Oryzias latipes: one gene and its partners. The protein of the gene in region 2 interacts with the protein of the main gene of each other region in a pairwise test. Links are inferred from orthologs where the notes say so. Each region holds a gene or a part of one and is shown on either strand. Other genes may lie near its edges. The genes, in order: E3 SUMO-protein ligase PIAS2, nav2, ing5 and rbm15.

Region 1 (4,306 bases), on a different chromosome or scaffold from region 2:
GTTTACGCTTCAGACTACAGTCACACAGTCATTGTTGTCATCTCCAAAATGAAAGCAGTGTTTTTACCCTCAGATTCTCCCTGACTTCCTCCAGAAACACGAAGGTCTGAAAGCAGCAGCTGCAGTTCATGAAGGGATGAAGAGTCACCTGTCATGAGCTTCTGCTGTGTGTGTGTGGGGGGGGGGGGGGGGGGGGGCATGTTCTAGCAGATACGACCATCAACCTCTTCACTTTCACGAAGCCTCATTTTTGGGGCGGGTTGGTCTTCTTCTCCCCCCATTCTCCAAAGTTGTAGTCCACGGACCGGTACCAGTCTGCGGGACAGTTATGAGGAACAAAACACGACCTTCATTTTTCTGTTTTTAATTATAATCTGATCCTGAGGGACGTTTCATTTTGAAAAACCACAACATTTTGTCTTAGTTGAAAATACATCCGCTACTTTTTTTTTTTTAAAGTGTCTCCACTGAATTCAAACCCTCAATTTAGCAAAGTTGACAAAAACAAAAACATTTAGAAATTTTCTGTTTGCAGAAAAAGTCCAGTGAGGAAACAGAAGCCTTTGACTTCAAAATAAAATAAATCTTTTCAACAGACAAAAACCAGGAATCTTTACTCCAAATATGGATTTATTGTGACCGTTGTTCCCACAGACCATAATAATAATAATGAATGCATAAGGTTCAGCAACCGGCTGTCTAATGATGCTGATAGTCAGGGTGCATGGCCTGGATGAGGCTGAAGGCCGCTGACCTAACGCTCTGTGCTGGTTTCCTGTCAGGGTGTTGGCGTACCAGCCCACCGTGCGCATGCCCACCATGCCAACCCTGGACGCGCCCTCGTACCTCAGCTCCACCCTCGCTGACTATGCGGTGCCTTACCACCCGTCGGCCCTGGCCACCATCCCTGCAGACATGCAGAGTGAGTCTTCTCCTCTGAACCACAAGTAACGTTTCCAGGAAGTCCACAGGTGGGAATCTAACCGGTCTGTCTGTTTTCTCCTCTGCAGGTCTGGATTTGTTTTCTTTAATTCAAGCAGACTCACAGGTAAATGAACTTATGTCAACCAAAATGGCGTTTTCCAAGATTGATTATTATTTATGTCATTTAGAAGCCGTTTGGTTTTGGTCGATTTGATTAACAACTTGCTTCAGACGGATCGTTGATCGTAGGAGAATAAATCGATTCATCGTTATACCCCTAGTCCCTCCCCTTCCACTCAAAACCATGTGGTCATGGAGGGATGCTTCACGTCACCCTGGTTGTCTCTGTTGCCTTCAGGGTAACAGTGATCCACACCTGAGCTTCAGTCTGACTTTTACTGAGTTTACTGAGTCTAAATACCTGAAGGATCATTGGATCAGAAGTGGTTGACGCTGACGCTGCCCTCTGTCTGCTCAGCATTACCGGCCGCAGATGTTCCTGGGAAACCTGACGGAGAGCATTCAGAGCGCCACCGTCTCCGCCAGCAGCTCCTCCTCCAGCAGTCTGTACGGCAGCAGCCTCCACGCTGACGGCTCCATCCACGAGGCTCGGGTCATCGCAGGAGGAGGAGGAGGAGGTGGGGCAGGAGGAGGAGTGAGCAGCAGCATGTCGGATGTCATCTCCCTGGACTGAAAACGGCCCGCTCTCCTCCTGGTCCTGGGCTTGGACTGTCAGGCCGCACAGACTGAAGCCTCTGAGAGTTCACTACACTCCACACCGGATGAAAGGTTCTCCCTCCCTACTCTGGGGCTCTGACACCGGCTCAGGTTCAAGTATTGGACGCTCCTCTCATTCTGAGCAGCACTAAGATGTGCTAACCTGAGGAACTGGAAGCCCGCCTCCTCTGTGGCTGGGACATCAAATGGATGTTTGTTGGGTTATTGCACACAGAATTGATTTTAGGACTGTAATGCGAGCCTGTTCCATGCAGGCCGCAGACGAACCGCAGACAGACTGCAGACTGATCGCAGGCATGCTGTAGACGGACTGCAGACGGATCGCAGGCAGGCTGTAGACGGACTGTAGACTGATCGCAGGCATGCTGTAGACGGACTATAGGCGGACCCCTGGGAGGCTGCAGGCAAGCGGCAGAAGGATCGCAAGCAGGCTGCAGACGGATCGCAGGCAGGCTGTAGACAGACTGCAGAGGGATCGCAGGCAGGCTGTAGACGGACTGCAGACTGATCGCAGGCATGCTGTAGACGGACTATAGGCGGACCGCTGGGAGGCTGCAGGCAAGCGGCAGAAGGATCGCAAGCAGGCTGTAGACGGACTGCAGACGGATCGCAGGCAGGCTGTAGACGGACTGCAGACGGATCGCAGGCAGGCTGTAGACGGACTGCAGGCGGACCCCTGGGAGGCTGCAGGCAAGCGGCAGAAGGATCGCAAGCAGGCTGCAGACGGATCGCAGGCAGGCTGTAGACAGACTGCAGAGGGATCGCAGGCAGGCTGTAGACGGACTGCAGACTGATCGCAGGCATGCTGTAGACGGACTATAGGCGGACCGCTGGGAGGCTGCAGGCAAGCGGCAGAAGGATCGCAAGCAGGCTGTAGACGGACTGCAGACGGATCGCAGGCAGGCTGTAGACGGACTGCAGACGGATCGCAGGCAGGCTGTAGAGGGACTGCAGACGGATCGCAGGCAGGCTGTAGACGGACTGCAGACGGATCGCAGGCAGGCTGTAGACGGACTGCAGACGGATCGCAGGCAGGCTGTAGAGGGACTGCAGACGGATCGCAGGCAGGCTGTAGAGGGACTGCAGACGGATCGCAGGCAGGCTGTAGACGGACTGCAGACTGATAGCGAGGCATGCTGTAGACAGGCTGCAGATGGACCGCTGGGAGGCTGCAGGCAAGTGGCAGAAGGATTGCAAGCAGGCTCAGACGGATCGCAGAAGAATCGCAGGCGGGCTGTAAACCGACCGCAGGAGGATCACAGGCAGGCTGTAGACGGACTTCAGATGCGTGTGATAGCAGACATCCACATCAATCAGACTAGATGTTCTTGTCATTCCAGGGTGAGTCAAGCGTTCTGAGTGCAGCCTGTGGTCCATGAACGGGTCCTGCTGGTCCAGCAGTAGCTGCCTGAACTTTGTTCTCGGCTTAAAGAGCATTACCTTGTGGTTGGAGGAAGCGAGCTGACTCTTAGGTGTCTTTATCCACATTTACCTGAGGTCCTGCTGACTCCCCCCTCCTTTAGGACCACAGCAGCGGCTGCACTACATCCTCAGAGCTGCAGAAGCTCCGTCTCAGGAACCAGAAGTCCATTAAACACCAGCTCTTCACTCTCAGACTTTTCTTTTACAGCTGTTATTTTTCTCACATCATTATTATTTTCAGAAAGGCTCCTGAGCTCCAGCGATGAGATCATGTATGTTCCTGCGAGCAGGTTGGACTCGTGGACATCTCAGGTTTCCCCTTCGGCTGCATGTTCTGATGTCTAATGTTCTGACAGTGGGTTCTCCTCGTGTTTACCTCCCACTCCAGAGATTGATCCTCTGTTTGCCCCAAAGCTATGAGCAGCATTGATGTCTGTGGAAGTATGTGGAGATGTTAACAGGTGTTCACTCTCTGAAAGCATGCCCGTCACTTCCCGTGATCACATGACTGAATTAAGTCAGACTGAAGCCCGGAGCATCTCTGCACGCCAACGGCCAGAACCAGAGGTCCGGTTTAGAGCAGAAGCCAACTGAACTGAACCACAAGCTGCTTTTTCTGTTCTGTCTGAAACCTCAATAAATGGTCTAGTTAAGCTTTTTCCAAACACAGGTTCTTGTTTGATTTCTCTTGTTGGAGCCTCTTCCTCACTCATGAAGCTGGTCTTATCTGAACCTCGGCTCCTCCTCCTCAAGTCCTTCATCTGTAACCCCGCAGTCTTCCTTCCCTGCAGTTCCTCAGGTTCCAGTCTGTGCTTCTGTTTTTGTAGAGGAGGAGGGAGTGTTGGCCGTTTTGGGTTTCATCTCAGCATCTACGTGCCTCACCTGCTCCCTCTGACTCAAGAGATGACCATAATAATAAGAAGGAATTGGATTTATCTGCACTTTTCCAGATGCTCAAAGTTCTTACGATGTGTCCGTCATTCATTCATCCTTGGTGATGGTAGCTACTGATGTAGCCACAGCTGCCCCTGGGGCAGCTGTGGCTACATCAGTAGCTACCATCACCTGGGGCGGACTGACAGAGGCGTGGCTACCAGTTCACGCCTACAGCCCCTTTGACCATCCCTGGGACATTCACACACCAGTGAAGGCAACACTATAGGACAGGAGGGTCAAGTCCCTTGCCCAAGGACACAACGCCAGTGGGCTGGGCTCATTGGCC
Region 2 (3,562 bases):
CCTATTGTAACAGTAAAATATGTCAAACACTAGAGGCTTTCAGCTCTTATCTGTTTGCTCAGCTGTTGGACAGGACAAGTTTAAAAAAATCAACATAAAAAAGACAAGTTTACCAAAACAAAGCTCCATCAATGTTATTAAACTACAACCAGAGTATCATTACTTTTTAAAACTAAAGTCTCCCATAAGATTGTTTTTCTTAAACATTTAAGATTGTTATTTTGCCCTTTAGGTTGTTTACATTTTTTTGTAGTCATTGGTCTCAATGTATGACATAAGCTTACCCGCTGGTGACATCATCAGTGCGCACAGCATTCTTGCTCAACACGTCTCCGTCGCTCATGTATCCCGTCACCTCCATGGCGACCCCGTCCAGCTCAATGTCCCCCGCAGCTCTGTCGCCGAGGTCCAAGCTGCACAGAGCTCCTCCCCTGCCAGCCAGCTGTCTCCGGAGGTGCCCAGGGTACAGGTAGCGTCCTGCCTGTCCGCCAGCTATCCGAGCACCGTAGCCATTGCCCAATGAAGGAGCGTCGCCTGCCTGCAGACGAGGGCTGGACTGGCCCAACCTCCATGGCGACAGTGAGGAGCGGGCAGAAGAAAGGCTGAGGATACTTCGACCACCTGCGCTGTTGTTATTGCTGCCTCCACTGCTGCTGATGTCTGTGGTGATGCTGCCATCAAAGGTGGTTTCTAAGCTGCTGACACAGAAAGAGAGGAGGTTTAGGATGTAGAATTTAGGAAGCTTAATATGTTCTCACTTACTGAGAAAAATTCCTACAGTTAAATGAGGTTAATGAAAATTGGGTTTTTATTATGTTCTTGTGACATTTTTCTGATGATGGAGGACATATATAGAGAAAATTAAGCTCAAACTTGCATTTCTGAGTATTTCTTTATTAAAATAATTGTAAATCGGGATCAGATGAAAATCAAATGCTGTTTGAAAAATGTCCTATTTGTTACACAGAAAATACTCTAAATGGGCCTCAAGCTCCCTGTTCCACTTCATTCTGATGCATCCACTTGCAAACAAATAGTTCCATGTCCGTCTTTGTTTTCCTCGTCTGAGCTGGAAACAGATTACTCAGAGTGGAAGGGGACGTAGTTTCTCCGCACCAACAGTCCTGCCCGCAACAATTTCTAATGAACAACTAGAACTATGTTCTAGAAAACAACACGTTTTGTTTGTGGCTAAAAAAGCAAAATCATACTTAGGAGACACTTTTAAAATATGACCAAAAGATGACCAGAGTGGGACTTTTAGGTGAACAGGCAAGTGTTTTATCAGACTAAGGTTGCGTTTAAAGTCCTTCATTGCTCACTACATAGTGTGTTCGCCATTTTGCAGTGCTGTCCGAAACTACAATTCCAAAATTGAGTGCCCTAGAAATTTCCCACAAGTCTCTGGGAAAAACCAGAGTGCATTGATGCTCACTAGATTGGCGACTATAGACCACAATGGATTGATCGATTTTTCATGTGCAAATATATGAATTTGAATATATTTTTTTAAACCATCCATGTTTTTCACCAAAACACAGTGGAGTTTAAATAGTGGATAAATTTTATTTGTAAAATGTTTGTATTCATTAGGTTTTTACTTTTAGAAATTGGTGATGTCATATTTACTATAAAAATAAATATATATATATATATATATATATATATATATATATATATATATATATATATATATATATATATATATATTCTGAATTACTTTTAAAATCTAGGGCACTAGATGGTCCTGCACTATATAGTTTTTTAGTAGTCTGGGAGCAGGGAGGGAATTCAGACATAACCTTAATGTTAAAAAATAGAAGACAACAGCTATCTTTAGTTTTATGCAACGTCAGACATCAGAGCTCCGTCCTGTGATCAAAGAGGTTACGAGACAGGAGAGTTTATACCCGCAAATAAAGACCATATCTACTGACTCATTCTCTGCTGTTCTGAATTCAGTCATTTGAGGCACAGCACTCTATGAAACACAAGAGTTTTGTTTCCAGAGCAGAAGAATTCATGAAGTTCTGAAGTTTTGAACACACAAAGCTTACCACAGCTAATTATAATCAAAAATCCCCTCACGCCGTATGCCGCTAATTTGCAATGTACCTTTTAATCTAGGACTACACTTAATTTAGCATCACCTGGAAAGGAAGAATATATTTTTATATAATTGGAAACAAAATTAGGCATTAAGGGGTTAATACAATGTTCCTTGACTGAAACAAAAAAAAACAATTTCATTAAGAATTCTTTTTATCGACTGACAGTGAGATCAGTTTCTTGCGAGAAGATGACTCGGACTTTACCTATGCGTGACCTGAGTTCCTCGGAGACTGGACATGGTCTCCTCCAGGTTTTGCCGCAGGTCTGCGATGTTTTTGACAGTACGCAGCCGTCTCGTTTCTGGATCTTCACCTGGGTTGCATGCATAAAACAATTTTAGAAAACATCAATTGACAACTGACTTCCATGCACTTGCTGCAGCGACTTCCTACCTGAAAGGTCTTCCATGGGGGTATGGTTGGTTTTGGTGCAGGAGGCGTCTCCACTTCCTCCCCAAGAACTGTTCCCGCCGTCCTCTGTTCCGTCTTCATCTGTTTGGGATCTGAAAAAGGACATTGTGCAAGCAATGAAAGTCCTGAATCGGAATTACTAAGAACTTCGTGGGAACCTAATTTTCAGAAAGTTGCCACAAAGGAGGGATAAACCTGATTACGACTCCAATCTGCAGCGTTTAGGTCTTATGACTGTGTTCCACAACAAATGCCTGCTAAGGCATCAGAAAGATTTGTTGTAGAAGGATATTTCGACAGAGCTTTTCCATTGCACTGCCTGTTTCCCTTTCAGACATCTAAGTGCCTCGGCTGAACACAGCTGTTCGTCCAGAATTTGTCCTAATGTAATTCTCTATGACCGCGAGCCAGAAGGAGTTACTGGAGGCTGCTCCTCTGAAAACCTCTGACTCACTAAAAAAATAGATTTTGATCTGTTTGTTGTCAGAAATTGTTGTTTTATGTATGTAAAGACACACCACACATGTACATTCCTGAATGTAGATGTTCCGATATATATACTTGTAAGTGTATTAATACTTGTAAGTGTATTGTTGTGCGACAAGTGTGTGAAGTTTGCAGTTCAAAAGTGTTTGAGGACAGAGAGAATAAACACAAACGGCATCAGGAGGACTGATGAGGACTTTGGTCAAAGAAAAAAAAATAGAACTATTTTATTTAGGAAGTAAACACCAGGTTTTTACATAAATTTTTTTTTTTTTTTTCAATCTTAGTGTTCTCAGACGCAGAGCTTTACATTCATCTGTGAAATCTAAAAGGTTAACTGTTTCAATGAAGATAGATGCTTTACACCAGTGGAGGCTGCGGTACCGGTCTGTGGGACAGTTGGTATTATCAAAATTTGAACTGTAATTGTTACATTCGTCCATTACTGACAAAAGTAATTAAATTACAGTAATTTTTTACTTTGTAATCCATCACCTCCAACACTTTGCATTCCTACAGTTGCTCCCGCACACCATTATATTAATGCATAATCT
Region 3 (4,084 bases), on a different chromosome or scaffold from region 2:
TGAAGGAGCACCCTCGGCACAGGGACTACCTGGAGGCGGTCTCCCAGGGCCAACTAGAGAAGCTTCACATCCTCCTCCAGGATCACCTACGTGGTTTGAGCCTGAAGCACAGCCTCTCCACCTTCCACCTGGACCCGGACGAGGACCTCAACAAACTAGATGACAAGGAACTAGCTCGCAAAAAAGCTCAAATGGACAGAGAGTTTGAGAGAAATAGGAAGCACAAGGATGATCCAGGCTTTGTTTATGACCTGGAGGTGGATTTTGAAAAGGCCCCTCAGGAGAACTGTAGCTGGGATGAGTCAGATGACGGATTTTAAAGCTCCCCGCCAAGGAACACCAACTCCAAAATCACACTAAAATAAAATCTCCATAGGCCTCTACATCTTCCATTTAATCCAATGACTGTAAACCAGAACACGTCAGAAGAAATTATCTCAAGCTCCCTTCTTGTCAAAGTTACCACTGACCGAATGAAGGGAAGTGAATCAACAGCAGCGTCTTGAAATGCAACACAAATAAAGACTAAAAGGACCGAAATTGTGATTACCAGTGAAAATTTATTTGTTATAAAATACAGAGTTGAAGAAAATACATAAACTTTGGTTCAAACATTTGTGGCTTACAAAACATGATTTTCAGTCAAACATTAGGAAGAATCTAAACTTCTATTAAATAAAATCTGAATGTATAGTAGTATTTCAACAATAAAACAAATCTCTTTGGAAACATTTCTACAAAATATTGACTTGTATAAAATATATAGTTCCATGGAAGGTTGGACAGTGTTTCCCTTCCATCTCTATTGGCCCGACAGACTTTTCAATGGTTACGTGTTACAGCAAAGGTTCATGAACTACAGATCACACCCAGCCTGCAGGATCATACTTCTTCAGGGTACTTTCTTCAAAGTGCTTGAATACCTCATATTCAGGTGACCGGAGACACCCACAGTACCACAATACATTCAAAAATGTCGTAGGCGTTTTGACTTGGACACAGTCTGAGTTCTAACTTTGTGCTTGTCTTGGTGTGAGCGAATTGAAAAAGAACAGAAGTAGTACTTGTTTTAAGCACCACATTTAACTGCAGTGTAAATGTTAATCCAAAGGAGGTAGTAACAAAAAAAAAAAACATCATTCCTTTTTTTCCCCACTATTGCAGTTTAGATTAACATTGTTTAGATTTGACATTTTTCAGCAGGCATCGTCTTTCTGGTTAGAAAAAGCGTTTTTTCAGGAGCCGACACTTCAAGTATGCTTCAACCAGAATGTGGGATTTAAACTTTTTTAAGTCGAGTGGAAAGGTATACATACACAGCTTATTACTCACCAGATTGTATTCTAACCTCGCCCTGAGCACAGAAGGCGTTTACTTTAAAACCACTGTGGATATACCATGAAGCCAGTATGGGGAAGGAGATTGATCTGAATCAAGCCCAACAATCCTACCGTTCTCTTGGTAATTTGTAAGCACACGTGACTATGCTATGTTATTTCATAAAAGCAAAACATTTGAGCATTCCTGACAGTAACTTTTACTTTTTCTTCCGGTCTTGGGTGCACCTCGGACAAAACCTGCCATGTCAAAGGAAGACAGAGTTTAGACACCAGTCGATGAGATGAACATTCAAATGATCAATCAGTTATTTGTCCGTAAGGAGCAATGCAGCTTCCCCCTGACATACCAACAGTGTTCAGACCCCAAAACAAAATCAAAACTGTAGCTGTTAAAAAAAAAAAACATTCACAAACCGTCTTAGAAAGACTGAGACCAGCAGGTCAGGTTTTTGGGGATTTCTCTTTGAACCAGAGAGGATCAAGCATTCCCAAACTCTGGAACGCTCTGTCCTAACGCTTCATCCACCTGGCTGAGGCTTATGAAACATTCCTAACGTCTTGTCTGTTGCTGTGATTGTGGAACTAGATGTTATTGAGCTTTAACTATAGCTAGTTCACACTGAAAATGCTGGTTCCATAGGGAAACATGAGTATGATTGGGGTTGTTCTGTTCTTTTGCCGTTCGCACCAAACGCTTCAGAAACCTGTCACTCCTTCAATCATCCAGAGGTTTTGTTCCGTTTAAATGCAGGAGCTGAGCGGCAGATGGCTTTGTCATGCAAGCGTTCTGTTGGAAAAAGCCAGATTCCCTGGGAGAACTCCCACGCTTGAAACAGCTGGCTGGTAGCATGTAAAAAAAAAAGGGGGGGGGGGCGCCTTTATTGTGTTGGAGAAAGAGAGTCCCTTACCATTTAAACCTGGTTCCTTTATGATGGTGGGGGCATAAAGTGTTACTACTTCACACTAAAGACCCCACTCAAGTGTTTTTCAATCCAACATAATCATATGCCATCTGCTAAAAGGGCAGATCTCTAGCTGCGGTTACAGCCATCATGTAAACACGCTGTTCGGAATACTCAGTACTGATCAGACTCATTCGGATCAAAATTTCTTTCCGACTGAAATAGGTGGGTTATGCCGATTGTTGATCTGATCGTGCTGCATACAAACAGTTTATTGTGACCGTGATCGCTGTCTTTGGTCATGCGTAGACGGTATGGCGCTCTAGAGGAGTCTCTCAAAGAACTATCGCGATATATCTGCGAAACGATCTTTTCTAACACCCCTAGTGTTGCGGCTCCCTGTGCTTTCATTTCTGTGGGAAACTGATCCAAATGGCTCTTTGAGAGGTTCAGGTTGCTGAGCCCTGGTCTGAGCAGAGCAGCCGGACTTGTAGCTTCATGTTTGCGGACAGGGGAGGGCGCATTGTTACGGTGTGCGCTCTGGAGGAGGCTTTGGACCGCAGTCCGGACTCAGGAGAACCGTGTCTCCGAAATGCAGTCCAGTCCTGAGAAACCGTGTCACCAATCATGTGAATTCATGTTTACCGGCATGTTCAGAAATAATAAAGGCTGATTTTATTCCCACGTTTAGAAGATCCTCTCGCTCTACGCTGCAGCTTTGTTTGTTTACAACAGAACTCAATATTTATTCTTGTACAGTAGTTTCCGGTATTTTCTACAGTCCTGCACATGTCCATTTATTCTGACAAAAAGTGTGGCGTATGTAAACGTTTGTCATAATCAGATATAGTTATTCTGAGCCATGTACACAGTTCAGTTCTAATCCAATCTTTGATCCGATCAAAGACGTTTTGCACGTGGAACCACAGCGACTGTCTCAACTATCTGAGAACTCAGAAGATCATGAACCGACCACAGGGAAGTGGGTTAACTTGATTCTGAAGTGGTTAGACGGATCAACTCACCATTTTCCTTTTGGTTTAGTGGCGAGGTCAACGCAGGCAAAGTGGAACCACTCGATGGGACACTAACAAAAAGACAGGTTGAGATCAAGTGTGGGTAAATTTAAGGATAAAAGAAAATATACAAATAAAAAACCCTACATCTGGGTTGTCACATCCAATCATCTCTCCATATGAGACTTGGTGGCACAGGCAGTAGGTGGGTTCATTGGGATCGACTGGCATGTCCAGAACGTCTGACGGCTGCATTGGCAGGAGAGCGTCGCTCAAGTCTTGGCTGAAACATTCATGAAGGGAGGGGTGTGCCGAAAAACACAAAGATGAAAAGAGGAAAGTAAAAACCGTGAGAGCCCCCCGAGCTTTACAAAAACCAACATTACCTGATTTTCATCTTCTTCTTTTTGGGAGAGTCGTCGTCAGAACCTTTCTTTCCCCGTCCTCTGGATCCACGCTTGTCCCGCTGCCCCCGTGAGTCACCTTCTGAGTCAAACGTCACAAACAATAAGCCCCCCAATGCAAACTTTGGCCGAGAAGGTTCCAGCGGGAGGATTTACTTTTCAAGGTTCTGCTGTCGGTGCTGTCGTAGCCGGTCAGCTCCAGCTTCTCCTTCAGCTCGTTCTCAAAGCGGGCCAGGTCTGCATCCAGCCTGCGGATGTGTTTGTCCACCTTTAGAACAGAAGAAGACGTCTTTCAAACGGCTCTGTTCACAAGGCATGCTTGAGAGGAAAAAGGTGGCGTGTTGTCAGGCGTGTCATGAAGGCTCACCATTTCATACGTTTGCATGGCGAGCTGAACTTTGTCGTCACTGAACTCCTTGCAC
Region 4 (4,194 bases), on a different chromosome or scaffold from region 2:
CACAATGCAGAACACAGCATGCAATAATTACTGACAAACAGCAGACTTGTTTTTTCTTATATTCCACTTGAACATAGTGCATTGTGACTTTTTCTCTTTTTTTTTTTTTAAGATGCTCCACGAACCACAATCATGACCAGATAGTCTTCTTCGCTTTTTGCCAGAGCTTTTGCAGAGGAATCCAGGAATTGCTGAGAGAAATCACAGGGGGGGAAAGCATGAAGAACCCCTGTGTTGTCTTTATCTCTGCTCCCTCCCACAGGCAGACTGATGACCCCAGCTGCTTGTTTTTGGTTGAGGTAGGACACCAGGTTGCGAAGGGGCCGCTGGGTTGAGGCCATAGGATCAGATGAAGAGGAGTCCTCTGTGCTTCCAGGAACTGCCAACAGGATGGCGTAGCCGCCTGGACCGGCGACTTTGATGCGCCGAGACACCTCATCAAGCTTTGGCTGGTCCAGACGGAGACGCTGCGTGATCTTTAGCTCGCTCACCTGCCTTCCGGTTGAGCCGTCGATGAGCAGGTCGCTGGCGACGCCGTAGTCACCTTCTAGGAGATGCATGCTGGCTGGAAAGTTGCTGTTCTTCAGGAGCAGCATTCCGCGCCATGCCACAATGAGTTTGGTGCCATCAGGTTTGGATTGCTGGGCTCCTTTAGAGCTGCTTTCAGAGCGTTCTCTCTTGGCAGGCACTTTGCCACTGTCGCCCGCTTTGCGTTTCCGCTCACCAGCAGATGAGAGTCCTTTCTCAGAAAGACTCTGGCTTTTAACCCTTCGATCCGCCCCACCTCTTTCAAGGCTAATGACATGTTCTCTGGCTGGTGAGGCCGTTTCACTGTGCACAGGATGCTCAGAGTCACTGAAACGTCCTCCGTCTCTGCTGCTGCCCCCAGGACTGCCATCTGGAGAAGAACGTCTACGTCTCACTGTCCTCTCAGTGCTGTCAGGAGAGTGATCTAGGTGACGGCCATCCTCCAATAAGCGTCTCTTACGTCCTGGTTCTCGCCCTTGCAGCTCACGCTCCAAAGACCAAGGCTCTCGAGTTCTCCGGTCGCGTTCCAAATGTTCCAGAGGCTCAAAGGGGGATCCCCGGACCCGCTCACGAATGGCCGGGTTGGGCCACTCCGTTGCTGGAAAGAGTTCTCTGTCCCTGAAGTGAAGTGGAGGTGGAGTCCGATCTCTGACTCTCAGAGGTTCAGGCGTGGCGCGGTGGACAAACGAGTCAGCCACCATGTCAAACGGTGGAATAGGGAGAGGCTGCAAGAACTGCTGCTGGTACCGGTGCTCAGTGTCTGCGAAATCCACCCGAAGTCTTCTCTCTGGGCCTCCCAGCGGAAAGCCTCTCATGTGTGTCCATGCTGCTTGAGCAGCATCTAAACTTTCATACTGGATGTAGGCCCAAGTGTCACCTTTTCTGTAGTCAATGGTCCTTATAGTGCCAAAGCGATCAAATTCTCTGGCCAGGGCAGCTAAAGGAACCCACGGTCCAAGTCCACCGACCCACAAACGGGTCGTGGGTGTTGCTTTTCCGTAACCGATTTTTATAGGGTTGCGACCCACTATTTTTCCAGACATGCTAAGCTTAGCACGATGAGCCATGTCAAGGTTCTCAAACTTAAGAAATCCATATGTGCTGGTCTGTCCTCGTGATGGTCTCTTGATGTCCACCTCTGTTATGACTCCAAACCTGTCGAAAGCCCGCCTGAGGTCTGCTTCTGCAATGTTTATGTCCAAGTTGCCTAAAAACAAAGTCCTGTTTGCTCTTTGGTCGTCTTCCGGAGATATTAAATCCTCTTCACGAAAAGCTGCTCGCTCTGCAAGGAAAGCTGGACGTGCCCTGGCTTCAAACAGGGCGAACTCTCTGTCCCGGTCCAGTTCTCTGGGCAGAGGGGGCGGAGGGGGAGGAGGGAGCCGTCCCAAAGCCAGCTGCTGCAGCCGGTAGTCTCTGTAACCCAGGCCGGTGGGCGACAGGGGTCTCTGCAAGTGTCTGTGACTTTGTGCTGCGCTGTACAAGTCCCTCTCCACGGGGGAGCGGCTTCTCCTCCTGCTCGTGTAAACGGCCTCGATCTTCAGCGGCCGGTCGTAGAGCACGAGCCGGCCTCTGGCGTGTTTAGCAGCCCTGGCGTCCTCCGGCTTCCTGAAGTTAACGAAAGCAATCCGTTCGTCGTTGCTGCGACTAATTTTGACGCTCACGTCGCCAAACTTTTTGAATTCATGAAAAAGCCCATCTTCTATATCCTCCTCGCTCAGCTGATTCCCAAGGTCGCTGATTTTGAGTGTTTTGTACTCACTCTCGGTGCTGGGCGGCGGAACACGCTGCTCCGCGCGCGAAGAGGCTCGCGGGGAGGCTAGGTCTAGCGACAGGCTCAGGTTGTGGTTTTTACCCACGGAGCTGGAAGCAGCAGACTGACAGCTGTGATTATTTCCAGTCCGACTATGGCCCTCAAAATCTCTGTCCCTTTTCTCACCCAACAAGCTCCGTCTCGTTGAGCCGCTGTCGCTTTTGGACGAACTGTTTCCATTATTACTCCCACTGGAAACGGAGAGAGCCCCCATTTTCTTGCTGGTCGGGTGGCATCCTCCCCTCTCTCGAATGTCGTCCAAGGCCCGGGACCGTTTTTTAATCGGCGACCGCTCCTTTCCTTTCATTGCAGCCCACGAAGAGTAAACTCTTTGTGGTAACTGGCTTTTTCCTGCACTCCTTCCACAAAATAATGTAGAAAATATCCAATACGTTCAAAGAATTTATTTACCGACCCTGCGGCAAAACAACAACAGTCGCCATTTTGTTAAGATTTGTGAGAAGACCCGCCTCCATGCGCTGATTGGCCGGTGTTTGGGGGGCGGCGATTGGTTAAAACCTTTTAAAATCCCGTCAATCACGCACACAGCGATGGATTAAAAAATGGGTCATTTCAGAATAAACCTATTTTAAATAATCCACATGCAAAACTAAGTGAAAATAATTACTGAAAATAATTTAAAAAATGCCAAATAAGCTCAATGTACCCCCTAAAATGCATTTTTTCTTGTCCCGTCCCCCATTGTCCAAATTAAATCTTCAATAAAAGCAGTTAAAATTAAATTTTAGATTCAGTTTTTGGTATATCTTGTTTTGATTGGTGTTTTATGTAACCGTGGGATTTTTTTAAATAAAAGAAGTATTTCAAATATTATTTATGATCAATACAATGTGTTTCCCACCGAATCCACACAATTCCTTTTACCATAACAGGTAAGAGGGTTAGAATATAGCAAAGAGTGATATGCTGGACTTGACATCATCAAACAGTATTCAAAAAGAATGGGTAGAGCAAAAGTTACGTGGATCTTTTATTTTTAACACATAGTTATCCTAGATTGAATGTCTCACTCCGCCTCATGCAACCCTGTTTCCCTATAATCAGAGTAAGACAATTATTGTTATTGTTGTTGCTTTTTTATGAGTAAGTAAGCAATCAAATTAGCATGTAAAGTAGCAACTGAGAAAAACAAGATATCACCATTCATTCTGGGGTGGTCAGAAATGCAAAAAGGCATGCCATTGAAATCACATTAATTTTCTTATTGGTACTCAGTGACAGCTAAACAACTAGCGTCTACTCCTGAGAGAAAGTCAATATTAATACATGTTTGCAACCCTGTTACTTGCAAAAATTGATAACAAGGTTGCATCAAGTCTTGTCATCATCAATATAATGTCATAAATATTTCGCAGTTGATCTGTAAGCAAAGTTAATCAAGCCTTTGACAGATATTACCTTTTATTGACGATTATATAGCAGAGAATTAGAAAAGTCAAAGTTTGCTCTTCATGAATTTTGCAGCCCAAATGTCCTCCAGTTCTGGAATGACCCAAATATCAACATATTAACTGAATATTAAAAGATACAAACAAAAACACATGGACATGTTCCATATGATTTATTTTCTAAATCGGAAGCCTCTTTGCAAGTGTCCAGAAAGTAGTGAAACTGGAAGTATGATTTAAAATTTTTATTCATTTTTCATTTTGTTTTACTGTATGTATGTGTGTGTGTTCTGAATTTGAGGTGTAAAGTGTATCAGGCATCATTCGAATTTGCTTTTAACGGAAGACAGGTGTTCTTTAATGTACCACAAGATGGAAGTGGTCAAAAGGTCTGAAGGAAAAATAGGAAGTCAAATTTACCCCAAGCCTTGTTTGATCAAGCACACT

Evidence for each region.
Region 1: the proteins of nav2 (region 2) and E3 SUMO-protein ligase PIAS2 interact in binary tests that used the Homo sapiens proteins (3 or more experiments, as listed by UniProt). The two-hybrid records come from large-scale screens. The link is inferred for Oryzias latipes from reciprocal best matches to the Homo sapiens genes NAV2 and PIAS2.
Region 3: the proteins of nav2 (region 2) and ing5 interact in binary tests that used the Homo sapiens proteins (3 or more experiments, as listed by UniProt). The two-hybrid records come from large-scale screens. The link is inferred for Oryzias latipes from reciprocal best matches to the Homo sapiens genes NAV2 and ING5.
Region 4: the proteins of nav2 (region 2) and rbm15 interact in binary tests that used the Homo sapiens proteins (3 or more experiments, as listed by UniProt). The two-hybrid records come from large-scale screens. The link is inferred for Oryzias latipes from reciprocal best matches to the Homo sapiens genes NAV2 and RBM15.

Annotation. Positions count from the first base shown.
Region 1 is NC_019867.2:30,488,390-30,492,695, forward strand, and holds the end of E3 SUMO-protein ligase PIAS2, read left to right. Parts: intron 1-782; coding exon 783-922; intron 923-1,010; coding exon 1,011-1,048; intron 1,049-1,402; coding exon 1,403-1,618; 3' UTR 1,619-1,895; coding exon of another isoform or gene 1,896-1,956; 3' UTR 1,957-2,066; coding exon of another isoform or gene 2,067-2,143; 3' UTR 2,144-2,198; coding exon of another isoform or gene 2,199-2,308; 3' UTR 2,309-2,594; coding exon of another isoform or gene 2,595-3,021; 3' UTR 3,022-3,749; downstream 3,750-4,306. Other genes in the region: uncharacterized protein LOC110015563, read left to right, coding at 1,896-1,956, 2,067-2,143, 2,199-2,308, 2,595-3,021. UniProt on the Homo sapiens protein: Functions as an E3-type small ubiquitin-like modifier (SUMO) ligase, stabilizing the interaction between UBE2I and the substrate, and as a SUMO-tethering factor.
Region 2 is NC_019861.2:6,357,147-6,360,708, reverse strand, and holds part of nav2 (neuron navigator 2), read right to left. Parts: intron 2,615-3,562; coding exon 2,505-2,614; intron 2,425-2,504; coding exon 2,316-2,424; intron 699-2,315; coding exon 285-698; intron 1-284. UniProt on the Homo sapiens protein: Possesses 3' to 5' helicase activity and exonuclease activity. Involved in neuronal development, specifically in the development of different sensory organs.
Region 3 is NC_019862.2:3,240,751-3,244,834, reverse strand, and holds the end of ing5 (inhibitor of growth protein 5), read right to left. Parts: coding exon 4,030-4,084; intron 3,931-4,029; coding exon 3,819-3,930; intron 3,745-3,818; coding exon 3,645-3,744; intron 3,542-3,644; coding exon 3,406-3,541; intron 3,330-3,405; coding exon 3,268-3,329; intron 1,578-3,267; coding exon 1,538-1,577; 3' UTR 541-1,537; downstream 1-540. Other genes in the region: cep19 (centrosomal protein of 19 kDa), read left to right, coding at 1-320. UniProt on the Homo sapiens protein: Component of the HBO1 complex, which specifically mediates acetylation of histone H3 at 'Lys-14' (H3K14ac) and, to a lower extent, acetylation of histone H4. Component of the MOZ/MORF complex which has a histone H3 acetyltransferase activity.
Region 4 is NC_019865.2:10,859,741-10,863,934, reverse strand, and holds the start of rbm15 (putative RNA-binding protein 15), read right to left. Parts: upstream 2,810-4,194; 5' UTR 2,646-2,809; coding exon 108-2,645; 3' UTR 1-107. UniProt on the Homo sapiens protein: RNA-binding protein that acts as a key regulator of N6-methyladenosine (m6A) methylation of RNAs, thereby regulating different processes, such as hematopoietic cell homeostasis, alternative splicing of mRNAs and X chromosome inactivation mediated by Xist RNA.